Stegostoma tigrinum: one gene and its partner. The protein of the gene in region 1 binds, or shares a complex with, the protein of each later gene. Links are inferred from orthologs where the notes say so. Each region holds a gene or a part of one and is shown on either strand. Other genes may lie near its edges.

What was found.
Region 2: the proteins of pak4 (region 1) and itgb5 are in contact, whole or in part, in a crystal structure (PDB 7S46), measured with the Homo sapiens proteins. The link is inferred for Stegostoma tigrinum from reciprocal best matches to the Homo sapiens genes PAK4 and ITGB5. Residues at the interface, in NP_001014831.1 of Homo sapiens: Gly330, Ser331, Gln358, Arg359, Leu362, Thr404, Lys442, Ser443, Asp444, Asp458, Phe461, Leu475, Val476, Gly477, Thr478, Pro479, Tyr480, Trp481, Met482, Glu507, Glu512, Phe516, Asn517, Glu518, Pro519, Pro520, Met524; in NP_002204.2 of Homo sapiens: Ser762, Arg763, Ala764, Arg765, Tyr766, Glu767, Met768, Ala769, Ser770.

What each region holds. Positions count from the first base shown.
Region 1 is NC_081392.1:17,168,599-17,178,960, reverse strand, and holds the start of pak4 (serine/threonine-protein kinase PAK 4), read right to left. Parts: upstream 3,255-10,362; 5' UTR 3,115-3,254; intron 3,000-3,114; exon of another isoform or gene 2,686-2,999; intron 1,816-2,685; exon of another isoform or gene 1,701-1,815; intron 1,542-1,700; exon of another isoform or gene 318-1,541; intron 284-317; exon of another isoform or gene 227-283; intron 19-226; exon of another isoform or gene 1-18. UniProt on the Homo sapiens protein: Serine/threonine-protein kinase that plays a role in a variety of different signaling pathways including cytoskeleton regulation, cell adhesion turnover, cell migration, growth, proliferation or cell survival.
Region 2 is NC_081360.1:65,580,230-65,592,828, reverse strand, and holds the start of itgb5 (integrin beta-5), read left to right. Parts: upstream 1-6,926; 5' UTR 6,927-7,350; coding exon 7,351-7,438; intron 7,439-7,661; coding exon 7,662-7,747; intron 7,748-12,599.

The DNA of each region.
Region 1 (10,362 bases):
CTCCCCGCCCCTCCCCCCTCCCCTTCTCCCCGCCCTCCCCCTCCCCCTTCTCCCCCCTTCCCCTTCTCCCCGCCCCTCCCCCTCCCCTTCTCCCCGCCCCTCCCCCTCCCCCTTCTCCCCGCCCCTCCCCCTTCTCCCCGCCCCTCCCCTTCTCCCCGCCCCTCCCCCCTCCCCTTCTCCCCGCCCATCCCCCTTCTCCCCCCCCCTCCCCGCCCCTCCCCCTTCTCCCCCCCCTCCCCCCCTCCCCCTTCTCCCCCCCCTCCCCGCCCGCCCCCTTCTCCCCCCTCCCCGCCCCGCCCCCTTCTCCCCCCTCCCCGCCCCGCCCCCTTCTCCCCCCTCCCCGCCTCCTTCTCCCCTTCTCCCCCTCCCCGCCCCCTTCTCCCCCCCGCCCCTCCCCCTTCTCCCCCCCGCCCCTCCCCCTTCTCCCCCCGCCCCTCCCCCTTCTCCCCCCCTCCCCGCCCCTCCCCCTTCTCCCCCTCTCCCCCCCTCCCCGCCCCCTTCTCCCCCCCTCCCCGCCCCTCCCCTTCTCCCCCTTCCCCGCCCCTCCCCCTCTCCCCCCTCCCCGCCCCCTTCTCCCCCCTCTCCCCCTCCCCTCCCCTTCTACCCCCTCCCCGCCCCTCCCCCTTCTCCCCCTCCCCGCCCCCTTCTCCCCCCTCCCCCTCCTTCTCCCCTTCTCCCCCCCTCCCCGCCCCCTTCTCCCCCCGCCCCTCCCCGCCCCCTTCTCCCCCCCGCCCCGCCCCTCCCCCTTCTCCCCCCGCCCCTCCCCCCTCTCCCCCCCGCCCCTCCCCCTTCTCCCCCCCGCCCCTCCCCTTCTCCCCCCGCCCCTCCCCCTCTCCCCCCCGCCCCTCCCCCTTCTCCCCCCGCCCCTCCCCCTCTCCCCCCCGCCCCTCCCCCTTCTCCCCCGCCCTCCCCGCCCCTCCCCTTCTCCCCCCCGCCCCTCCCCCTTCTCCCCCCCCGCCCCTCCCCCTTCTCCCCCCCGCCCCTCCCCGCCCCTCCCCCCCGCCCCTCCCCCTTCTCCCCCCCGCCCCTTCTCCCCCCGCCCCTCCCCTTCTCCCCCGCCCCTCCCCCGCCCCTCCCCTTCTCCCCCCGCCCCTCCCCCCCACCCCTCCCCCTTCTCCCCCCCCGCCCCTCCCCCCCACCCCTCCCCCTTCTCCCCCCCCGCCCCTCCCCCCCACCCCTCCCCCTTCTCCCCCCCCGCCCCTCCCCCTTCTCCCCTCCCCTTCTCCCCCCCGCCCCTCTCCCCCCCGCCCCTCCCCCCCCGCCCCTCCCCCTCTCCCCTCCCCCCCCCGCCCCTCCCCCCTCCCCCCCCGCCCCTCCCCCTTCTCCCCCCCGCCCCTCCCCCTTCTCCCCCCCGCCCCTCCCCCCTCTCCCCCCCCGCCCCTCCCCCCCTCTCCCCCCCCGCCCCTCCCCCCGCCCCTCCCCCCTCTCCCCCCCCGCCCCTCCCCCCTCTCCCCCCCGCCCCTCCCCCTTCTCCCCCCCGCCCCTCCCCGCCCCGCCCCCTTCTCCCCGCCCCGCCCCCTTCTCCCCGCCCGCCCCCTTCTCCCCCCTCCCCGCCCCGCCCCCTTCTCCCCCCCTTCTTCCCCCCTCACACGTCCCACCACATGCCACACGCCCCGCCCCCACTCCCACTCCTTCTCACGCCCCCGCTCCCACTCTTTCCCTCTGTCTTCCCCTTTGTCACCCCCCTCCCTTGGACTGACCTGTCCGGCTACGGCTGCTGGTGCCTGCGGGGGAAGAGTTTTCTTCCCAGGGGTTCACTGCCACATCCGGGAATTCCCGAACCGCAGGCGCCGCATCCGGGCAACCGCATCGCCGTGGCAACGGGGAGAGACCAACCTCCCCCGGCACGGGGGTTAAGGGAGAGAGTAATTCCCTGCTTGCAGCGGGGGGAATCAGGGAGAGACTAATTCTCAGACTCGGGGAAATCAGGGAGAGACTAATTCTCAGGCTGGGCGGGTGTTACTGGGAGAGACTAATTCTCAGGCGGGGGGTTACTGGGGGAGACTAATTCTCAGGCTAGGGGGTTTACTGGGAGAGATTAATTCTCAGGTGGTGGGGCGTGTTACTGGGAGAGACTAATTCTCAGGCTGGGGGGGTTAGTGGGAGAGACTAATTCTCAGGTTAGGGGGTGTTACTGGGAGAGACTAATTATCAGGCTGGGGGTTTACTGGGGGAGACTAATTCTCAGGCTGCGGGGGTTACTGGGAGAGATTAATTCTCAGGCTGGGGGGGGTGTTACTGGAAGAGATTAATTCACAGGCTGGGCGGCGTTACTGGGAGAGACTAATCCTCAAACTGGGGGGGGTCACTGGGAGAGACTAATTCTCAGGCTGGGGGTTTACTGGGAGAGATTAATTCACAGGCTGGGCGGGGTTACTGGGAGAGACTAATCCTCAGGCTGGGGGGGGTCACTGGGAGAAACTAATTCTCAGACTGAGGGCAGGGGGTGGACAGGGAGAGATTTATTCTTCTCCCTGTAGGGAAGGACTGGGAGAGACTAAGTCACTACATTGAGGGGAGTTGAGACTAGTTTGTGCACAGCAAGCTCCCAGAGGCAGCAACGTGAGAAAAACTGGTTCATCTGTGTTTTAGAGACACTGACTGAGGGATAAACATGTTCGGGGACAGGTGCCCGCGGGATCCTACCCCTCGCGCCGAGGGGCTGGCTTCGGTTTAACGTCTCACCTCAGGGGCGGCCCCTGCGACAGGGCTGCACTCCCGCAGCACCACACGGAGGATTTCTGATCGAGGGGGTGTCACCGTCGACGGTGTCTGTCGAAACGTCTGGCCTGCTCCCAGCGGTGACTCCCCGCCCCGGCGTGGTGCTGTCGTGTCGCTGGCCTGCTCCAGAGCCAGGCCCCGGCGCGGACTGGAAGCTAAGTGGTCGGCTGTGCTGAACTTTTATTTCTGTAAAGCTGGACATTTTTGTGTTCTGTACTGAAAACAAGTGCAGGGGACCCCCCCGGGGGCCAGAGAACATCCATTGCTGGGGGGGAGAGAGAGACTTTCGAGCCTGGGTTTTATGGTCTGCATCGTGTAAAGCTTGTAACGAGAGGAGCCTGGGCACTTGCACATCGCAGTGGCAGTGTATAAACTGTTTTTAACTGTACTCACCGAGTACGTGTGACAACAAAGACTGTCCTGTCCTAATACTAACTCCCTGCCGGCCTGGACTAAAGTCCTTGGTGTTAGTTGTACCGGACCTAACACGTCCGACCGACATCGCTCAACCAGCAAAGTCTCCATCTGAAATATTGCTGCCCTCTGGCACCTGCTGGTTTTATGATGGTCTCACATCTCGATCCAGTTCTCGAAAGGTTTTGGAGCAGAAACACGAGAACACACACAGATTGTAAAATGATTGCGGCAAATATATCCCTTTCAAACCTAATCCCCCCGTTCAATCAGTCACAGACAATCTCCCAGACGCGCCATGGTTCTCTTAAGCTCAGGGACCTTTTTGTTCTTTAATATAATCCACATCTCAACTCTCTCGGGCAGAGAATTCAACACGTTCTCATCCACTAGGCACCGAAATTCTCGTCTCAGCTCAACCCAGAGGCAGTGCCCCCTTGGATCTAGTTAAAGTAAACAGCACCTCAGCATCTACGCTGTCATCCACGAGGAATTTAACACATTTCAATGAGATGACCTCATTCCACTGAACTCCAGAGGGTAGAGGCCCATTCTACTTAATCTCTTCTCACAGCCCACCCCCCTCTCTCCGGCAATCAATCCAAGGTATCTTTGCTGCACCCTCTCTGAAAGGCAACTTATCTAAATGGAGAGAAACCTCAAAATGTTTTGTAGAGCGACCTGGGTATCCTTGTGCATGAATTGCACAAAACTAGTGTGCAAGTAGAGCAGATAATAAGGAAGGAAAATGGAATTTTCATATATACTGCTAAAAGAATAGAGCATAAGAGGAGGGAAGTGTTGCTAATACTGTACAAGGCATTAGTGAAACCACACCTTGAGTATTGCATACAATTTTTGGACCACTTACTTGAGGAAAGATGTCATTGAATTGGGGGCCATTAATAAGAGCCTCACAAGATTAATTCTAGAGATAAAAGAGTTTGTCTTATGTCAGTGTAGATTTATATGCTCTTGATTTTAGATGTAATTGAGATCTTAAAATACTATAAGACCATAAGACATAGGAGTGGAAGTAAGGCCATTCAGCCCATCAAGTCCACTCTGCCATTTAAATCATGGCTGATGGGCATTTCAACTCCACTTTCCTGCACTCTCCCCGTAGCCCTTGATTCCTTCTGAGATCAAGAATTTGTCGATCTCTGCCTTGAAGGCATCCAACGTCCCAGCCTCCGCTGCACTCTGCGGCAATGAATTCCACAAACCCACCACTTTCTGGCAGAAGAAATGTCTCCTCGTTTCAGTTTTAAATTTACCCCCTCTAATTTTAAGGCTGTGCCCACGCCTTAGTCTCCCCGCCTAACGTAAACAACTTCCTAGCGTCCACCCCTTCTAAAACGTACATTATCTTGTAAGCTTCTATTAGATCTCCTCTCAACCTTCTAAACTCTAATGAGTACAATCCCAGGATCCTTAGCCACTCATCATACGTTAAACCAACCACTCCAGGGATCATCCGTGTGAATCTCTGCTGGACACGCTCCAGGGCTAATATGACCTTCCTGAGGTGTGGGGCCCAAAATTGGACACAGTATTCTAAATGGGGCCTAAATAGAGCTCTATAAAGTCTCAGAAGCACATTGCTGCTTTTATATTCCAACCCTCTTGAGATAAACGACAACATTACATTCGCTTTCTTAATTACGGACTCTACCTGCAAGTTAACCTTTAAAGAGTCCTGGACCAACACTCCCAGATCCCTTTGTACTTCTCCTTTGCGAATTTTCTCACCATTTAGAAAATAGTCCATGCCTGTATTCTTTTTTCCCAAAGTGCAAAACCTCACATTTACTCACATTGAATTTCATCAGCCATTTCCTGGACCACTCTCCTAAACTGTCTAAATCTTTCTGCAGCTTCCCCACCTCCTCAGTACTACCTGCCTGTCCACCTATCTTCGTATCATCGGCAAACTTCGCCAGAATGCCCCCGGTCCCTTCATCCAGATCATTAATGTATAAGGTGAACAGCTGTGGCCCCAACATTGAACCCTGCGGGACACCACTCGTCACCGGTTGCCATTCCGAAAAAGAGCCTTTTATCCCAACTCTCTGCCTTCTGTCAGACAGCTAATCCTCGATCCAAGCCAGTAGCTCACCTCGAACACCATGGGCCCTTACTAAAGGGGATCAACAGAGTAAATGTAGAGACAATGTATCCTAGATAATAAAGTGTGAAGCTGGATGAACACAGCAGGCCAAGCAGCATCTCAGGAGCACAAAAGCTGACGTTTTAGGCTTAGACCCTTCATCAGAGAGCTCTCTTTTAAATGTTGTTAACGTACCCCCCTCAACCACTTCCACTGGCAGCTCGTTCCATATGTGTACCACTCACTGTGTAAAAAAGTTACCCTTCAGGTTCCCATGTATTTTGTCCCCTCTTACCTTAAACTGATGCCCTCTAGTCCTCGATCAGAGAGCTCTCTGATGAAGGGTCTAGGCCCGAAACGTCAGCTTTTGTGCTCCTGAGATGCTGCTTGGCCTGCTGTGTTCATCCAGCTTCACACTTTATTATCTTGGATTCTCCAGCATCTGCAGTTCCCATTATCACTGAGACAATTTATCCTTATGTGTGTCAATATGGAACAAGAGGGTCACAGTCATAGAATGAGGATTTAAGACTGAATTGAGGAGGAATTACATCCCTCCAAGGTCCATGAGCCTGTGGAATTCACTAGTGTGAGGGTGCTGAATAATTTAAGGAGATAGATTTTTAGTTTGTAATGGGTTAAAGGGTTATGGGATTTGAGGCCAGGATGAGATCAGCCATGATCATTTTGAATTGAGGAGCAGACCTGAGGGGTTGATTGGCCTCCACCTGCTCATAGTTCTTGTATAATGACATATCACACAAGTCAACAAAACATGCTCAGTATTGGTAGGAGGAATGTATTTCTGCATTTTATCCAACGCACTGCCAAAGCGTAAAGATTGTCATTTTTGTGAACATAGAACTCTGCATCGAGTCAAAGACTCCTACAGCACGGAGACATGCCCTTCAGCCCAAACTGGTCCATGCCGACCAAAATGTCCATCCACGCTAAATCTATTTTCCTGAACTTGGCCAAAATACTTCTAAGCTTTTGTTATCCATGTATTATCCAAATGCCTTTTAAATGTTGTTAACGTACCCCCCTCAACCACTTCCACTGGCAGCTCGTTCCATATGTGTACCACTCACTGTGTAAAAAAGTTACCCTTCAGGTTCCCATGTATTTTGTCCCCTCTTACCTTAAACTGATGCCCTCTAGTCCTCGATTTTCCCCAACCCTGGGAAAAAGACTGAATGCATTCACCCTATCCATGCCTTTCATGACGTAATACATTTCCATCAGATCATCCCTCAGTCTCTTATGCTCGTTAGAAAAAAGTCCCACCGTGTCCAACCTCTCCCAATAACTCTGTCCCTTGGGTCCTGGCAACATCCATGTAAATTTCTCCTGCACTGTTTCCAGTTTAATAACCTCCTTCCTATAGAATGTTGACCAAAACTGAACACGGTACTCTCAAATGCGGCCCCACCAATGTCCTGCACAACTGCAACATAACATCCCAACTTCCATACTCAGTGCCCTGACTGATGAAGACCAGTGTGCCAAAAGCCTTCTTAACTGCCCTGCCTACCAGTGCCTCCACTTTCAGAGAACCGTACATCTGAACTCCAAGGTCCCTCTGTTCCACTACACTCCTTAAGGGCCTACCATTCACCATGAAACTCCTACCTTGATATGACTTTGCAAAACGCAATATCTCACACTTATTATTAAACTCCATTTGCTACTTCTCAGCTCACTTCCCCAACTGATCAAGATCCTGCTGCAATTTCTAATAACCTTCCTCACTGTCCACGATACCACCTATTTTAGTGTCACCTGCAAACTTACTAATCATCCTTTGTATACTCTCATCTGAATCATTGACATAGATAACAAATACCAATAGGCCCAGCACCAACCCCTGAGGCACACCAATAGTCACAGGCCTCCAATTTGACAAACCTCCTTCCACTATTCCTCTCTGAATCCTAGCATCAAGCCAATTGTGCATCCAATTTGCCAGCTCTCCCTGCATTCTATACAATCTAACCTTCCAGAGCAGCCTCCCATGTGGAACCTTATCAAAGGCTTTAATGAAATCCACACAGACTACATCTACCGTCCTGCTCTTATCGACCTTTCTGATCACTTCAAAGAACTTGAAAAGATTTATAGGGCATCATCTTCCACACACAAAACCATGCCATCCTCATCAGACCCTGCCTTTCCAAATGCATGCATATCTTATCCCTCAGAATCTTCTCAAATAAGTTACCCACCACAATTTTAGATTTACTGTTCTATAATTCCCTGGTTTTTCTATGCAGCCCTTCTTGAATAAGGGCACAACATTCTGTACCCTCCAGTCTTCTGGGACCACACCCTTGGCTAATGATGCAAAGCCAGGCCTCCTGCAATTTTTTCTCTAGCCTCTTGTAGGGTTCTTGGATAGATCTGGTCAGGATCAGGAGATTTATCCACCTTCAGGCATTCTAATACTTCCAACACCACCTCTACTGCGATATGGGCTATTTCCAAGATATCGCCACTAATTTCCCCAACTTCCCAAGTCTTCATGTCTTTCTTATGGTAAACACAGAGGAGAAATATTCAGTGAGGACCTCGCCCATCTCCTGTGGTTCCACACATACATGTCCACTTTGGTCCTTGAGGGATCCTATTTTCTCTCTAGTTATTCTTTTTCCTTTAATATACTTAAAGAATCTCTTTGGATTCATCCTAATCTTCTCAGCCAAAGCTGTCTTGTGCCCTCTTTTTGCCCTCCTGATTTCCTTCTTCGTAAACTTCCTGTATCCCCTACATACCTCTAGGGATTCCCTTGATCCCAGCTGCCTGTGCCAGAGCCATGCCTCCTTTTTTCTGGTCAAAACCTCAAAATCTTTTGTCATCCAGGCTTCCCTACTCCTGCCAATCTTGCCCTCCACCCTCACAGGAACATACAGACCCCGAACTCTAACTGTCACTCTCAACAGCCTCTCCCTTGCCAGCCGTCCTTTAGCCCACAAACTACTCCAATCAACCCCTGCAAGCTCCTATCCAAGTCGATCAAAATTCACCTTGCCCCAGTTTAGAACTTGAACCTGTGGAATAATTTTGCCCCTCTCCATAACTATTTTAAAATTAATACAACTACAGTCACTGGTCCTGAAGTGCTCCCCCACTGTCACTGCAGTCACCTGCCTTGCCCTATTTCCCAACAGTAGGTCGAGTTTTGCCGCTTCCTGAATTGGACCCTCCATATACTGCTTAAGGCAACTTTCCTGAACACATTTAACAAATTCAACCCCATCGAAGCCCTTAGCAGTATGGCTGTCCCAGTCAATGTTAAGAAAGTTAAAATCCCCCACTATGACAATCCTATTGTTCCTGCAAGTTTCCCCAGACTCCCTGCATATTTGTTCCTCTAATTTCCATCAACTATTTGGGGGCCTATAGTACAACCCCAATAATGTCACCATCCTCTTCTTATTTCTTAGCTCCACCCACAAAGCCTCTCTGGATGATCCCTCAGTTATTTCTTCTCTATTGCTGGGATACTCCCTTCAATCAAAAATGCCACTCCTCGTCCCCCTCCACTCTTGCCTCCACCTCTGTCCAGCCTAAAGCACCTATGCCCTGGCACATTAGCTGCCAATCCTGTCCGTCCCTTAGCCATGTTTCTGTAATGGCTATAATATCCCAGACCCACATACCTATCCACACCCTGAGTTCATCGGACTTATCTGTCAGCACCCTTGCATTGAAATAGATGCAATTTAATCCAACAGGCATTCCTCACTCCCTGTCCTGTTCCAGTTTGGCATGTTTCTTCAACTTGCTGTTTCTTATTACGGTATCTCCTTTCAGCCTTGCACTTGCCTCCCTGCCATTGAGGATCCCAACCCCCCACCAGTCTTCCTCTGTTTAAAATTCTGTAAATCAGGTAGATTGGCTGGTCAATATGCAGTATTGTGCAGCTTACCTGCCTGGTTTTGGTAATGGCTTATGGTATCTCGAGTGAGTTTGTTCTAATTTTCTCAACAGGGAATCTCAGAGACACTCTCCCACAAAGAGGCTCTGAACCTCTCTGGTGGTATTGTGTCAAACAAGTCTTGCCAGGCAACTGCAGATACCAGGAACTCCCTAAAAAAAATTGGAGTGACATGGTGGTCCTGTGGTCAGCACTGCTCCCTCACAGTACCAGGAACATGGGTTCAATTCCAGCCTTGGGTGAAGTTTGCATGTTCTCCCTGGTTAGGTGCATTGGGCATGGTAAGTTGTTGAATTGTGTCGAGGGTTGTGCAGGCTTAGCTGGGTTAGCCATGGGAAATGCAAGATTACACGGATAGGGTCAGGAGTGGGATCCTCTTCAGAGGATTAGTGTGGATTCAATGGGCTGAATGGCCTGCTTCTATACTCCAGGGATTATATTCTGGGAAATGCAAGATTACACGGATAGGGTCAGGAGTGGGATCCTCTTCAGAGGATTAGTGTGGATTCAATGGGCTGAATGGCCTGCTTCTATACTCCAGGGATTATATTCTGGGAAATGCAAGATTACACGGATAGGGTCAGGAGTGGGATATTTCATGGGAAATGCAAGATTACACGGATAGGGTCAGGAGTGGGATCCTCTTCAGAGGATTAGTGTGGATTCAATGGGCTGAATGGCCTGCTTCTATACTCCAGGGATTATATTCTGCTCTCCTGCAATTCTGTTTCGATTTTAATCACTCCACAACTGACACCCTTCCTTTCAGCTGCACGGGCCCCAACTTCTGGAACTCCTTTGCTAACCTTTTCTGCCATTTTTAGGACACTACCCAAACTCTTTTGTTAACTAAACCCGTGAACATTAATGTGTTTTTATGCTTATTAACACCTCTGCTAACCCCCTTGGGGGCAATTTGTTGCATTAAAGATGCATTATAAATGTGTGAGTTACATTTATCTCCAAGAAACAATAAACAGAAAGTGCTGGAGAAACTCAGCAGGTCTGGCAGCATTTGTGGAGAGAGAAACAGAGTTACCGTTTCAAGACCAATTTGAAAGTTCTGAAGAAGATTCATACCAGACTCAAAATGTTAACTCTGTACCTCTGTCCACAGATGCTGCCAGACCTGCTGAGTCTCTCCAGCAACTCCATCTTCTGAATCTGTGGTACTTTGCTT
Region 2 (12,599 bases), on another chromosome or scaffold:
ACCTAGACCCTTCATCAGAAATGAGGGAGGACGAGACGGTTCTGAAATAAATAGGGCCGGCGGGGGGGAGGCAGATTGAAGATGGATAGAGGAGAAGATAGGTGGAGAGGAGACAGACAAGTTAAAGAGGCAGGGATAGCACCAGTAGAGGTGAATGTAGGTGGGGAGGTAGGGAGGGGATAGGTCAGTCCAGGGATGATGGACAGGTCAAGGGGTTGGGGTGAGATTAGTAGGTAAGAAATGGGGCTGTGGCTTGAGGTTGGAGGAGGGGATGGGTGAGAGGAAGAACAGGTTAGGGAGGCGGGGATGAGCAGGGTTGGTTTTGGGATGTAGTAGGGGGAGGGGAGATTTTGAAGCTTGTGAAGTCCACATTGATACCATTGGGCTGCAGGGTTTCCAAGGGAATATGAGTTGCTGTTCCTGCAACCTTCAGGTAGCATCATTGTGGCACTTCAGGAGGCCCAGGATGGACATGTCGTCGAAAGAATGGGAGGGCGAGTTGAAAAGGTTCGCGACAGGGAGGTGCAATTGTTTGGTGTGAACCGAGCACAGGTGTTCTGCAAAGCAGTCCCCAAGCCTCCGCTTTGTTTCCCCGAGAGGAGGAAGAGGCCACAACGGGTACAGCGGATGCAGTATACTACATTGGCAGATGTGCAGGTGAACATCTGCTTGATGTGGAAAGTCTTGGGGCCTGGGATGTGGGTGAGGGAGGAGGTGTGGGGGCATGTGTAGCACTTCCTGCGATTGCAGGGGAAAGTGCCGGGTATGGTGGGCTGGAGAGGAGTGTGGAGCGGACAAGGGAGTCCTGGAGAGAGTGGTCCCTCCGGAAAGCAGACAAGGGTGGGGAGGGAAAGATGTCTTTGGTGGTGGGGTCAGTTAAGAAAATGATTTTTTTGCACATTCTTGATCTTTGCCAAATTAGCAAAATGCATTGAAAAACATACAGAGGCATAAAATGAGCAACCAATATTTCTGTAACTTCATTACATAAGAGTACAAGACAGTCTCAGTGCAATGGATACGGCAGCAACTGGTTATTTCTTCAGATTGATTCACAGAATGGGGAGATATTATGGCCATGGGCTATGTGCCATATTGCCACCACAAAGCACTTGAAAGTATGATATTTATTCTATTTGAAAGTACATATTGTTTGTACCATGCCACAAATTACCATGAACAATGCCATTATGTTCAAATATGGAATTAAAATGTTTCAGGGCTCTCCTATGTACAACGTTTATTGCACCACGAACTAATGCTTAAAAATAAGCTATGAACCAATATTAAAATGTAGATGCAAACATTTTTTAAGATGTTCTGTAAGAGTAAAACACTTACTTCCTCATGGAGTGGTTTTGGACATCAGGTGCTGAGGGAATATTTGTTAGTTTAAGGAAAAATATCCAATATAATCCAATTAGCATTGTTCAATTATAACATTTCAAAACAATACAATTAAAATTGCAACTTTTTCTAATTCTTTCCCTTTTTTGGGTTTGTCTCAAAAGTGGTTTGCTAGGCTAGACATATAGTTTGTTTTTTAAAACTATAAGCTACGCTACAGTAATCCAGTAGTTTTACAGTCACTTCAGATTTATACTATCTAAAATTAAGTTTCATTGTGATGGAAATATTTTGCATGTTTTCTTTGCACCCTGTCAAGAATGTTGCTTAATAGCACTGAAATCATGAAAGGTCATCACCACAAAAACTAAACATTGCAGATGCTGGAAATGTGATATAAAAAGCAAACAGATTCCAAAAATACTGAGGGTGTCAGGCAGGATTTATGGAGACCCATTTCAAATTAACCTCAAAGAAGTCTTCTGGTAATACAGGTTGTGACCCTGCCTCTGAGCCAGAAGCTATGCATTCAAGTCTTACTTTAAGGCTTGATGGCCAAGGAAAGGTATGTTCATGATATGGTCAAACAGGTCAAATACCAACTTGTAAGTCATTTCAAAATATGCTGATGGCAAGGCAGTAAGTGGGAGGCATTCCTGGTCAGCTATGGAATGAAAATTGGAGTTTCTCTATTATTATCAACAGTTATGGACTGGGAGAGAATATAGTGGTATTATCACTAGACTAGTAGTTCAGAAACCCAGGCAATATTCTGGAGAGCTGGGTTCAAATCCCTCCAAGACAAATGGCAAAATTAAAAATAATAGTCTAGTGATCATGAGGATTGCTAGGGACAAAAATGAACATCTGGTTCAGTAATACCCTTTAGGGAAACAATCTGCTGGCCTATATGTGGATCCAGACCGCCAACAATATGGTCAACACCGAAATGGTCTAGAAAGTCACTCAGTTGTATATATTAGACTTAGACAGCTGGGATTTGAGTGTATCCCTAAAGAAGCATAAAGAAAGTAGGAGAATATTCAAAAGGGCAAAAAGGGGCCACGAGATAGCTTTGGCAAATAGAGTTAAGGAGAATCCAAAGAGATTTCATAAATACATTAAGACCAAAAGACAACTAGAGACAGAATAGAGACCCTTAAAAGTCAATGTAGCCACACATGTATGGAAACTAACACAGGAGATGGGTGAGATACAAAATTAATATTTTGCTTCTGTATATACTGTGGAGAAGGACATGGAAGCTAGGGAACATGGGGAAATAAGTAGTGATGTCTTGAAAAGAGTTCACATTGCAAAACAAGTGGTGCTGGAGGTCTTAAAATACATAAAAGTAGATAAATCCCCAGACCTGATCAGGTGATGTTCAGAATTTTGTGGGAAGCTAGGGAAGAAATTGCTGATATTTTGTATCATCAATAGCCACGCATGAGATGCTAGAAGCGTGGAGGTTGTTTAATGTACTTAAGAAAGGTTGTAAGGAAAAGTTGAGAACAATACACTAGTGACCCTTACTTCAGTTGTGGGTACGTTGTTGGAGGGGATTCTGAGGGACAGCATTTACATGTATTTGGAAAGGCAAGGACTAACTAGAGATAGTCAATATCGCTTGTACATGAGAAATCATGTCTCACTAACTTGATTTGAATTTTTTGAGTTTGAAGAAGTGACGAAGATAATTGATGAAGGCAGAGTGGTAGATGTTGCTATATGGACTTTGACAAAATTTTCCACAAGGTTCCTTATGGTAGACTGGTTAGTAAGGTCAGATGACATGGAATGTGGGGAAGCTAACCAATTGGATACAAAACCGGTTTTAAGGTAAGAGACAGAGGATCGTGGGTAGAGGGTTGCTTTTTGGACTGGAGCCCTGTGACAATGGTGTTGGGTCCATTGATTTTCATCATTTACATGTTATGGACCAGCCCAAGTCCCATCAAGATATTTTAAGAAGGTAGCCTAGATCGTAACTTTTTCTTATTTTAAAAGTGCATGTTCTGGATGTAATGCAACTGGTCAGATCACTTGATGTTAAGCAAAACATAATTTATTTAAACACTGTAGTTAAAATACCAACAAAAGAAAGATAATTTAGAATAACAACTATTGGAAAACCTAATCAAATAATAGATACAGTAGCTATTATTAATTAACTAATGGCCAATGGGCAGATAGAGTTTTATTTAGATAAATGTGACGTGTTGCAGGGCAATGGTAGGACCCTGGGAAGTGTTGTCAAACAAAGAGACCTAGATGAGCATTCTTCCTTGAAAGTGGAATCTCAGGTAGACAGAGTGGAGAAGGTGGCATTTGGCACATTTGCCTTCTTTGATCAGAAACTGAGTATGAGGAGTTGGCATGTCATATCACGGCTGTACAGGACAATAGTTAGGCCACTTTTGGAATTCTGCCGAAAAAGGAAATCAAAAGAACTGCAGATACTGTAATTCAGAAACAAGAATAAAGATTGTTGGGAAAGCTCAGCAGGTCTAGCAGCATCTGTGGACAGAAGTTCTGAGCAAGGATCACGTGACCCAAAATGTCAACTCTGATTTCTCTCCATGGATGCTGCCAGATCTGTTGAGCTTTTCTAGGAATCTCTATTGTTGTTTTGGAATAGTGCATTCAATTCTGGTCTCTCTGCTATAGAAAAGACGTTGTTAAACTTAAAAAGGTTCAGAAAAGGTTTACAAGGTTGTTGCCTGGTTTGAAGGACTTGAACCATAAGGAAAGGCTGAATAGGCTTGGCTATTTTCCCTGCAGGAGGCTGAGGGGTGAACTTCTAGAGGTTTATAAAATTACTTGGGGCTTGGATAGCATGAATAACCCAGGATTTTTTACCCTTGGGTTGGGGAGTCCAAAACTAGAGGACATAGGTTTCAGGTGAGAGGGGAAATATTTTAAATAAGACAGGGGGGCAATTTTTTTTTCATGCAGAGGGTGGTACACGTATGGAACAAACTGCCAGAGAAAGAGCTGAAGGTTGGTACAATTACAACATTGAAAAGGTACCTGAATGGGTACTTGAATAGAAAGGGTTTAGAGTGATGTGGGCCAAATGCTGGCAAATGAGACTAGGCCAGATTGCAATGTCTGGTTGGTGTGGATGAAGACTGAAGTGTCTGTTTTCATGCTGCATGGCTCTATAAATTACTAGAAAGTCCCATCAAAAAAGTGAAAACCAGACAGACCACTTAGTATCTATCTAGGCACTTAAATTACAATGGGAAACAGCCCGATTAACCGAGTACTCCTTTCTCATAAATGAGGGCTCATAACAAAACTGGGAAAGCTGTCCCACTGACTAGTCTGGCAATAGCTTGACAGTCATACTCCCTGAATCATTCTGTACACACAAATGTCCCATAACCAACTATCACCATCCCTGGTTATTCCTCTTCTACCTGCTGAATACACTCAGCAGAGTAGCATACAGTCAGGAGGGAAATCTACCAAAATTGGCTCTGCACCTCACGAAGTCAAATAGCATTGGATCAGACATAATAATCATCAGCAAGTTTTTTTGCTAATGTACTGTCCCCGCTCCTGACCAGCACTATTGATTGACCTGATCGAGTCTGAAAGGACATTGCTGCTGGGCTAAGTCTGTAACAGGTAGTGAGGGAAACTAAAGGGAAATACACAAGTCTCATTCACACCAATCCACCTGCCACAGATGCATCTGGCTCTGACAGCATTATTAAGTGTAACCATTGAATGGTTCTTATGAAGTCAAAGCCCCATCTTCACATTGAGGACATTGAAGTTGTGTAATGTGGCACCATCACTGTGCTAAATGGGACTGACTTCAAATAACCTAGCAATGAGACTAGGCATTCATGACACACCTTGAGCAATCAGCAGCACCAGCAGAAGAATTGAGATTGCTGCTGTTAAGAGATCCCGACTTTCAATCTCCTTCTAGCTCCTTCGAATCCATTTTTAGGACCACACCCTTCTTATCAGTAATTGGTACTAATGTATTCCACAACTTTGATGTTTACTCTTCCCCAGAGGAATGGCCTGCAACCACTCCATGACAGCCTTGACCCTGGCAACTGTGAGAAAACCTACCATTCTGAAGTCACATTTGTGGTCAAAAACACACTTGTCTGTTTCCCCATATTACTGCTCTTCCACTCCTCTATCTACCCTCCTGTACAGCTGGGTCATCCATTACACTACATACCTATCTCTGACTGCACCCCTCCAAGCAGCCAATGCTCTCACTAGCATCCCAGGCAGAAAAATCAATTTGTAGCCATTTCCTCAGCGGACCCCTGCACTATCTGCCTGGTTCTCTTGGATTGCCTGGCAGTCACCCATTTCTTTGCTGTTTCCATACTTCCAGTCCCCAACCATGACCATTTCTCCAAAAAGCACTATCCACATAGCCCTTAGCTTCATAGATTCATCTGTGACTCCCTTCCAGATATTTTATAAGTAACCTGTTTAGAAATGTTTGTCCACACGGCTGGATCAGATGGCACTTGAAATCAAGCTTCCCTGGCTCAGGGGAAAGGGACATTACCACTAATGCCACAAGGGGATTTCACTAAACCTTCATATGTTATTGGTCAACCTGTTCAGATAAATTAGTACACACCTGTAGAATAAGTGGGTCTTGTCCCCAGATCTCCTGGCTCAGATGCACGACAATTGTATCTCAAGAACGCATCATCCAAGCTACCAAACCCAGAGCTAAGTTACTGCAGCTAGTGACACTTGATGTACTATCTACGTACTGCAGAATACGCATGTCACGTGACCAGGCCACACTTTTCCCTCAACCTCATTTCACTTAGCAACATTCTTTTTACTTGTATCGAACGGAATAATCTTCAGATATCGATGAACTTTTTAAATACTAATAAATGGGACTATTAGTTTTCACACTTGGTACTGGTTGCAATAAACCACACGCAAAACATCTTTTCTGAAATTCCAACATCAGCTTAATCCACTACTTTATATATCACTCAGGCATGATCGCCGAATCGGGTCCTTTCCTGACCCTGACAAGTCACGAACTAGCTTAGCTTCTTCGCGGTAATTAACACCAACTGAACTATTTTCAGCTGATTGACAGGTTACTGCTGCAAACCAGGCAGCTCCTTGTTGAACAAAGCAAACCAACTTGCTCGAAGGTTGTTAGTTTTGTGCTCTACTCTAACTCGCAAGTTTCAACCCGAAAACAAGGCTCGCCGGAACGTTTACGTGAACATAATTGGCTACTCTTTCTGTTTACGTCTCATCGTGCGCCCCTTGCAACAGTTATGTAACAAAAATCATTGGGTGTATTGCCAAATCACTGGTGGCCTCCGAACTAAGTTTCGGGCCAATGCAGACCTGCATCTAGAATGTTTAAACTGAAGTGGATTAGCCTGCTTTACATGCACGGCTCCACGGACTCGCTCAATGCGGCGGGGTACAGGCAGCTTTTGGTTTGCAGACGGGAGAGAGCCGCGGAACTGCAAGGGTTAACAGTGTGTGCTGCGCTGATTGGGCCGCAACGTGCCAGGCGGAGAAGGGATTGGATGATGCGGTGAAGGAGACGCTGTCCCGGAGCTCGCGATTGAAGAGCAACAAAAGTGTTTGGGGGCGGCCGGCAGTGCACTGCACCGGCTGCTTACAGCGGGGCTGTAACTCAGTCAGCTCATAGCCATGTGAACTTCAATCCCTGGCGAATCCGAGAGGCAGAGCGAGCGGAGAAGAAGTCCGTGCGAAGTTAGTGCTGGGAGTTGGACATCGGGCATCATTCGGCACTCTCCGGCTCGGCCCCATGTCAGCATGAGTTTCCGAGATGTCGACCGCACAGAAAAGTTTGGGAGACGTGAAGTCTCGAAATGTTTGAGTCGAAAGTCCACTTGTGATTGTTGTAGCCCAGCGTCCAACTGTTTTTGACTGGCGACTTGAGAGCTGATCGGATCGTGGTTGGGGCTTGGGGACAAGATATGTTTTGAATCCTCACATTCAACAGAGATGCAAAAAGCCAGGGTCAAGAAAATGACCTTAAATTATTTGCTTTTATCGTATCTAGTTTTTTACCTGATTTTGCAAGACGTCAGCGGTAAGTTAAAACGATAGTTAAAGCGTTTTGGTCGAAGTCGTTAATAGTAAATAAGTGGTCAGGAATGTGTCTTGTATTTAGTTGCTGATGCTTCAGGTTTGTGGAGTAAACCTTGACTGCTGAACTTCAGCATGAACATAATCTGAAGTTGTGGAAAACGAACAATTTGCGCCCTTACTTAATGGTCATGCATGGGAAAGTGACAACTTTATTTGTGTCACAGGTTCCAATATTTGTACAAGTGGACGTGCTACCTCCTGCAAAGAGTGTTTGCTTATTCATCCTGACTGTGGCTGGTGTATTCAAGAGGTAGGCTGCTTGGCAGACTTAAAGAATTGCTATAAACTCACAAGCTCCCAATTTACGAAACATTGTATTTTCCTGCAACCTCCATTTTCGCTCTTGAACGGAACATTTAGGTTAGCTCGTGATTGAGATTGTTCTTTGTCCTTTGGTTCTTGGGCTGCTAATAACAGTGACTTTTAGGGAAACATGCGGATAAAAGTGTGGGAAATTTGTAAGTTTGGTTAAAAAGAATCAATAACAAGTAATTACGATAACATTCTGTCAGTGAGTCTGTAATGTTGGCCTGCAGTGGATTATCAAATATAATATAATTTGCTGTTCAACTTTTTACTATTATCATGGGAAGCACCAATGAAAATTCACCAAATACTTAGTCCGAGTGGAGGCACTGCAACATCGCCACTGGTATAATCGCAACAGATGAGTTGTCGTAAATAAAATACGGACTCGGAAGATTCATATTGAAAATATGTCTTTTAAATGAAAACTGTATTACGTCTCCATTATCTGATCCAAACATTCCTGTCATCAATATTATATTTGATTTGAAACTGACTGGTGTGTTATGTAGATATCAGTCACACGTATACAACATAACACATCTGTTGGTAACATCTGCTTAAAATGGAATTTCAAATATGTACCTTCACATATGAGAATGTGGAAATAATATATCTGAGCTTTGAGATTTTTAATAGTGCATTAAGTTAATGTACCAGAAGGAAGCTAATTTGAAGTGAAGTTCCATTTCACCTGATGGAGTGGTGCTGTGAAAACTTGTGATTTCAAATAAACCTATTGGACTATAACCTGGTGTAGTGTGACTTCTGATTTTAAGAATGTATATTTCTATCCTCCCAGTTGGATTGAATCAAACAAAATACTTTCAGGAACTCTAATAACTTCTAGGTGTCTACTGTTTATATAAAGAGGAGGAGGCGGTACAGCTTCTTGAGACTGATCTGTTGTGTTAAATCAGGGTGTTGCGAACTTTATATCTTGTTTGTCTGCCTTTGTTCTGTGACCTTGTGTAAATTTATTGTCTGACAATGATCTAGAATTTGGTTTTGAGCATTTCAACTGACCCAGCATTCACAGCCTTTCATGGAAATGAGTTCCAGATTTCTGTGACCATTTGTATGAAAAAGTGCTTCCTGATTTTGTTTCTAAATGGCCTGGTTGATTGATAATATTATTCCCTCATCTTCTGCCAGCCAACACTGAATGTAATTGTGGGGTCTGAACAAAGTTTGTCCCTAAGTGAAGTATTACTTGCTAATTGTTGAATTCTAATCTGTTTGAACTAAGATCAACATTCTTTTTAGTCTTTTTTGATTACTTTTTGTTATTCATACTAATTTCTATTGATTTGTGCACATGGAAACAAATGCTCCTCTGCTTGCAGTCTCTCCTGACTTCTAAAAATAAGATTGATTTCTCTTTGGATCTGAAGTGAATGATTCTATACATTTTTCCTTGAAGTGCAACTGTCATAGTTTTATTCCATCACTTCATCTGCCTGTTTTCCTTTCTGAACGCTTCAGCTCATCGACTCTGTGTTCCTTCTTAGTGTCACCTGCAAATTTTTATATATCCTACTCTTTGTCCCTTCCTTCAAAGCTGTGTCAACAACAAATAGACTTGTTAAACCCTACACAACAACAACAGTGAAGTTGCTGGAAAAGCTCAGCACGTCTGGCAGGAAATCTTTGTCACAAAGCAGATATTCATTCAGCTACAAATGCCCCTTTCTACTGTGTCTAACCGCATCTAAAGATCCCCTGCCATATTGTGCTGTCACTGAATTTGATTCATTTTCTAGTTCCTTTCATCTCCAATCAGACTCTACCCAACTCTTCTTGTCCACATGATTCACATCGTTTTCTCTTGACCATATTAAACTGCTGAGCAGCTTCCCTTCCCGGCTTCGATGTTAGCTGATTTTGATAATGGTTTCATATTCTTGTAGTTTTTCTCTTCCCATCAAAACTTCCATGACTTTCCCGTTCCTTAGTAAAAACCATTCTTGATCTACCCTGTCCTGGCTACTGTCCTGCATGATCTTCAACTGCCTTTGACATTCCAAAACCATTTAATCTCTGTCTAATCAGTGTCCATATTTTCTGCAGCTCTGTGTTTGAAGCCACCCAATCAATTTTCTGACTGTACCACAGTTGCAAATGACATTCCATGAGACAGTAACTATGATAAGCTATTCCTCCTCATTCTTCCTAATCCTTACATGGCCAACTGCAACATTCTGTTTCAACCTGTCCTCCACTATCCAATAGGATAGGATTACACTCACTTGGTTCCAATCTTATCAACCCAGCCATGGTCATAAAAATAATTCTCCTTGTACTTGCAGTCTTTTAGCTCTGGAGTTCCCAATTAGTCTGTTCATGGCTGCCCTCTATTCCTCATCTACATTCTGCCATCATAAAAACTCATCAGATTCCACTTGGAAGCTCATGACACCTGAATCATCTTTGCTATCATTCTTAACTCCAGTAATGTCTCTGATTTGTCTGACTGTCCAGAATATGATACTGAAGCATATGTTTGTTCCAATTAAATATCGGAAAAACAAAAGGTATTGCTTTAATTTAATTTCCCTGGCCCTGAGCACCATCCATCTCCACAGCAGCTATTTAATGTTTAGTGAGAGTGTGTTCGCAACTTTGACTGTAACTGACTTGACATTGTCTTCCAAGTGTTTAACTGCTCTATTCCCATAACTGGTTACTTTTACCTCTGCTTTGTTACCCACCTCCAGGCTGTTGTGCAAATCTGCTGAAACCATCATCCTTGTTCTTTAAGTATTATTTCCATTCTCACCTTACCTATTTCCCATCTTCAATGCTACATGAACTTGAGGACATCTAAAACTCTACTGCCTGTATCCTAACTGCCGGCAAGTTCCAATAATCATCACCATCTCTGCTTATTGATTGATATTAGCTTCTGGATAGTGTTATAAAGTGGAGGTTATCCCCCCTCTGAACTAAAACCGAAACCTCCAAAGAGGAACATCATGCCCCGTAATCTGTGAAAGGACTGTGAAAAGTGGTGTAACCTGCTTTTCAGCAAATTCTAGTGGTTGAACAAAATAAATCCCTGACACACACTTTACAGGCAACAAATAACAATTTGATTATCTAACTCTAACACTGAACAAATTTACTAAATTATTAACAAATCCAAAAAAACCTACTAACTACTATTTCCAGATAAAACAAGATCCTAATAGCATGCTGTTCCAATAAATAGAAGTCCTACTTAAAAATAAAATGAGTAGAATATAGTCTTTCAAAATTACAGCCATATTAAGTATATCCTTTAATGCTCTGTGCCTTGTCCGTCTATTTGTTCTGCCAGGAATGCCTCCTTAGTTGATTCTTCTGTCAGGAATATTAACTAGTTATGCTGTTGGTACCTTTTGATATTTAGATGGTGCTTTCACAGACTCCTAAAAGTTTTAAAGAGAGCCAGCAAGTTTCTCATGAGAGCTGTTAACTGTGGCAAAAGGCATTTAACTTTCCTATCTTTGTCCAACTGCCCTTTACTTTTATACCCCCGATGACATATCAATTTCTTGCAATCAGATTGGTTGTCAAAACCATCAGATTCAAATTTGAGTGGTTATTGGTATCTAAGTACTTGATTCAAATTGACTAAATTCAAAAACCTGTTGTCTTGGTAAAAATGCTGTTTGGCGTGCAAACGTCATGGCCTTTCGGTGCAAATGTTTCAATTCGGGTGCTGTCTGTAATTGCAGACTTTCAAGCTGCTCAAGATATGGTTACATATTTCATACCAACTCCATTTGTATATAACATTGAATACAATGTTTCTATCTTGTATCAGCATTTTTCTTTTAAACCCGCAACAATGCATCTGCCATAACATTTTCATGACCCACAATGTACGATATGTAAATTAAATGCTTGTAACATAAGACTCCAAAGAAATTGCCTGGTGTTCTTGTCCTTAAATCTTTTCAGAAATGTCAAAGGATTGTGATTAGTATACACTGTTGTCTTTGATGCATTGTTTGTGATGTAAACATTAAAATGTTGTAAGGCCAGTATCAAATGCAATAACTCTTTTTCAGTGGTTGACTTTTTTTTTGGCAGATATATTTCTTTTTCCCTGAAAAATAACCACTTGGCTTTTCAATTACATAATCGTCCTCCTGTAACAACACAGCTCCAACCCCTACATTGCTTGCATAAATGGCGACTTTAAAGGGCATCCAAAAGATGTGTTGTGGCTAAAACTGGTGCGCTGGTTAACACTGCTTTTAAATTCTCAATGCCTCATGGCATTATTTTGTGCTCCGAAATTTTGTGCTTTTTTTAACAAATCAGTCAACGATGCCACCATACTACTAAAGTTTGGTACAATTTTCCTGTAAAATCCACTCAGCCCTAAAACCCGTGGCACCTCTTTCTTCAAGATTAGTCTTGGAAACTCCTCAATAGCCTTTGTCTTCACATTCCTTGCCGTTATCTGTACATACCCAATTGTTGTGCTCTAAGAGTGTCACATCTTCTGCCTTCACAAATTCTGCTTTTGCCAAGTTTATGACCAACTTTGCCTTCCATTGTTTTCAGAACCTCTGTCAAATGCTCCATGTGATCTTTCCACGAATGGCTAAAAATCACTAAGTCACCTATGTAGATAGCACAGTTAGTCAATCCTGCAACAGCTCTGTTCATAAGCCTATGAAAAGTGACTGGTGCCTTTTTCATTCCAAAGGACATTACTTTAAATTGATATAGCCCATTTGGGTTTAGAAAAGCTCCTCTTCCTCTCTCTGACTTGTCAGTAACCACGAAGTAAGGTCAACTTT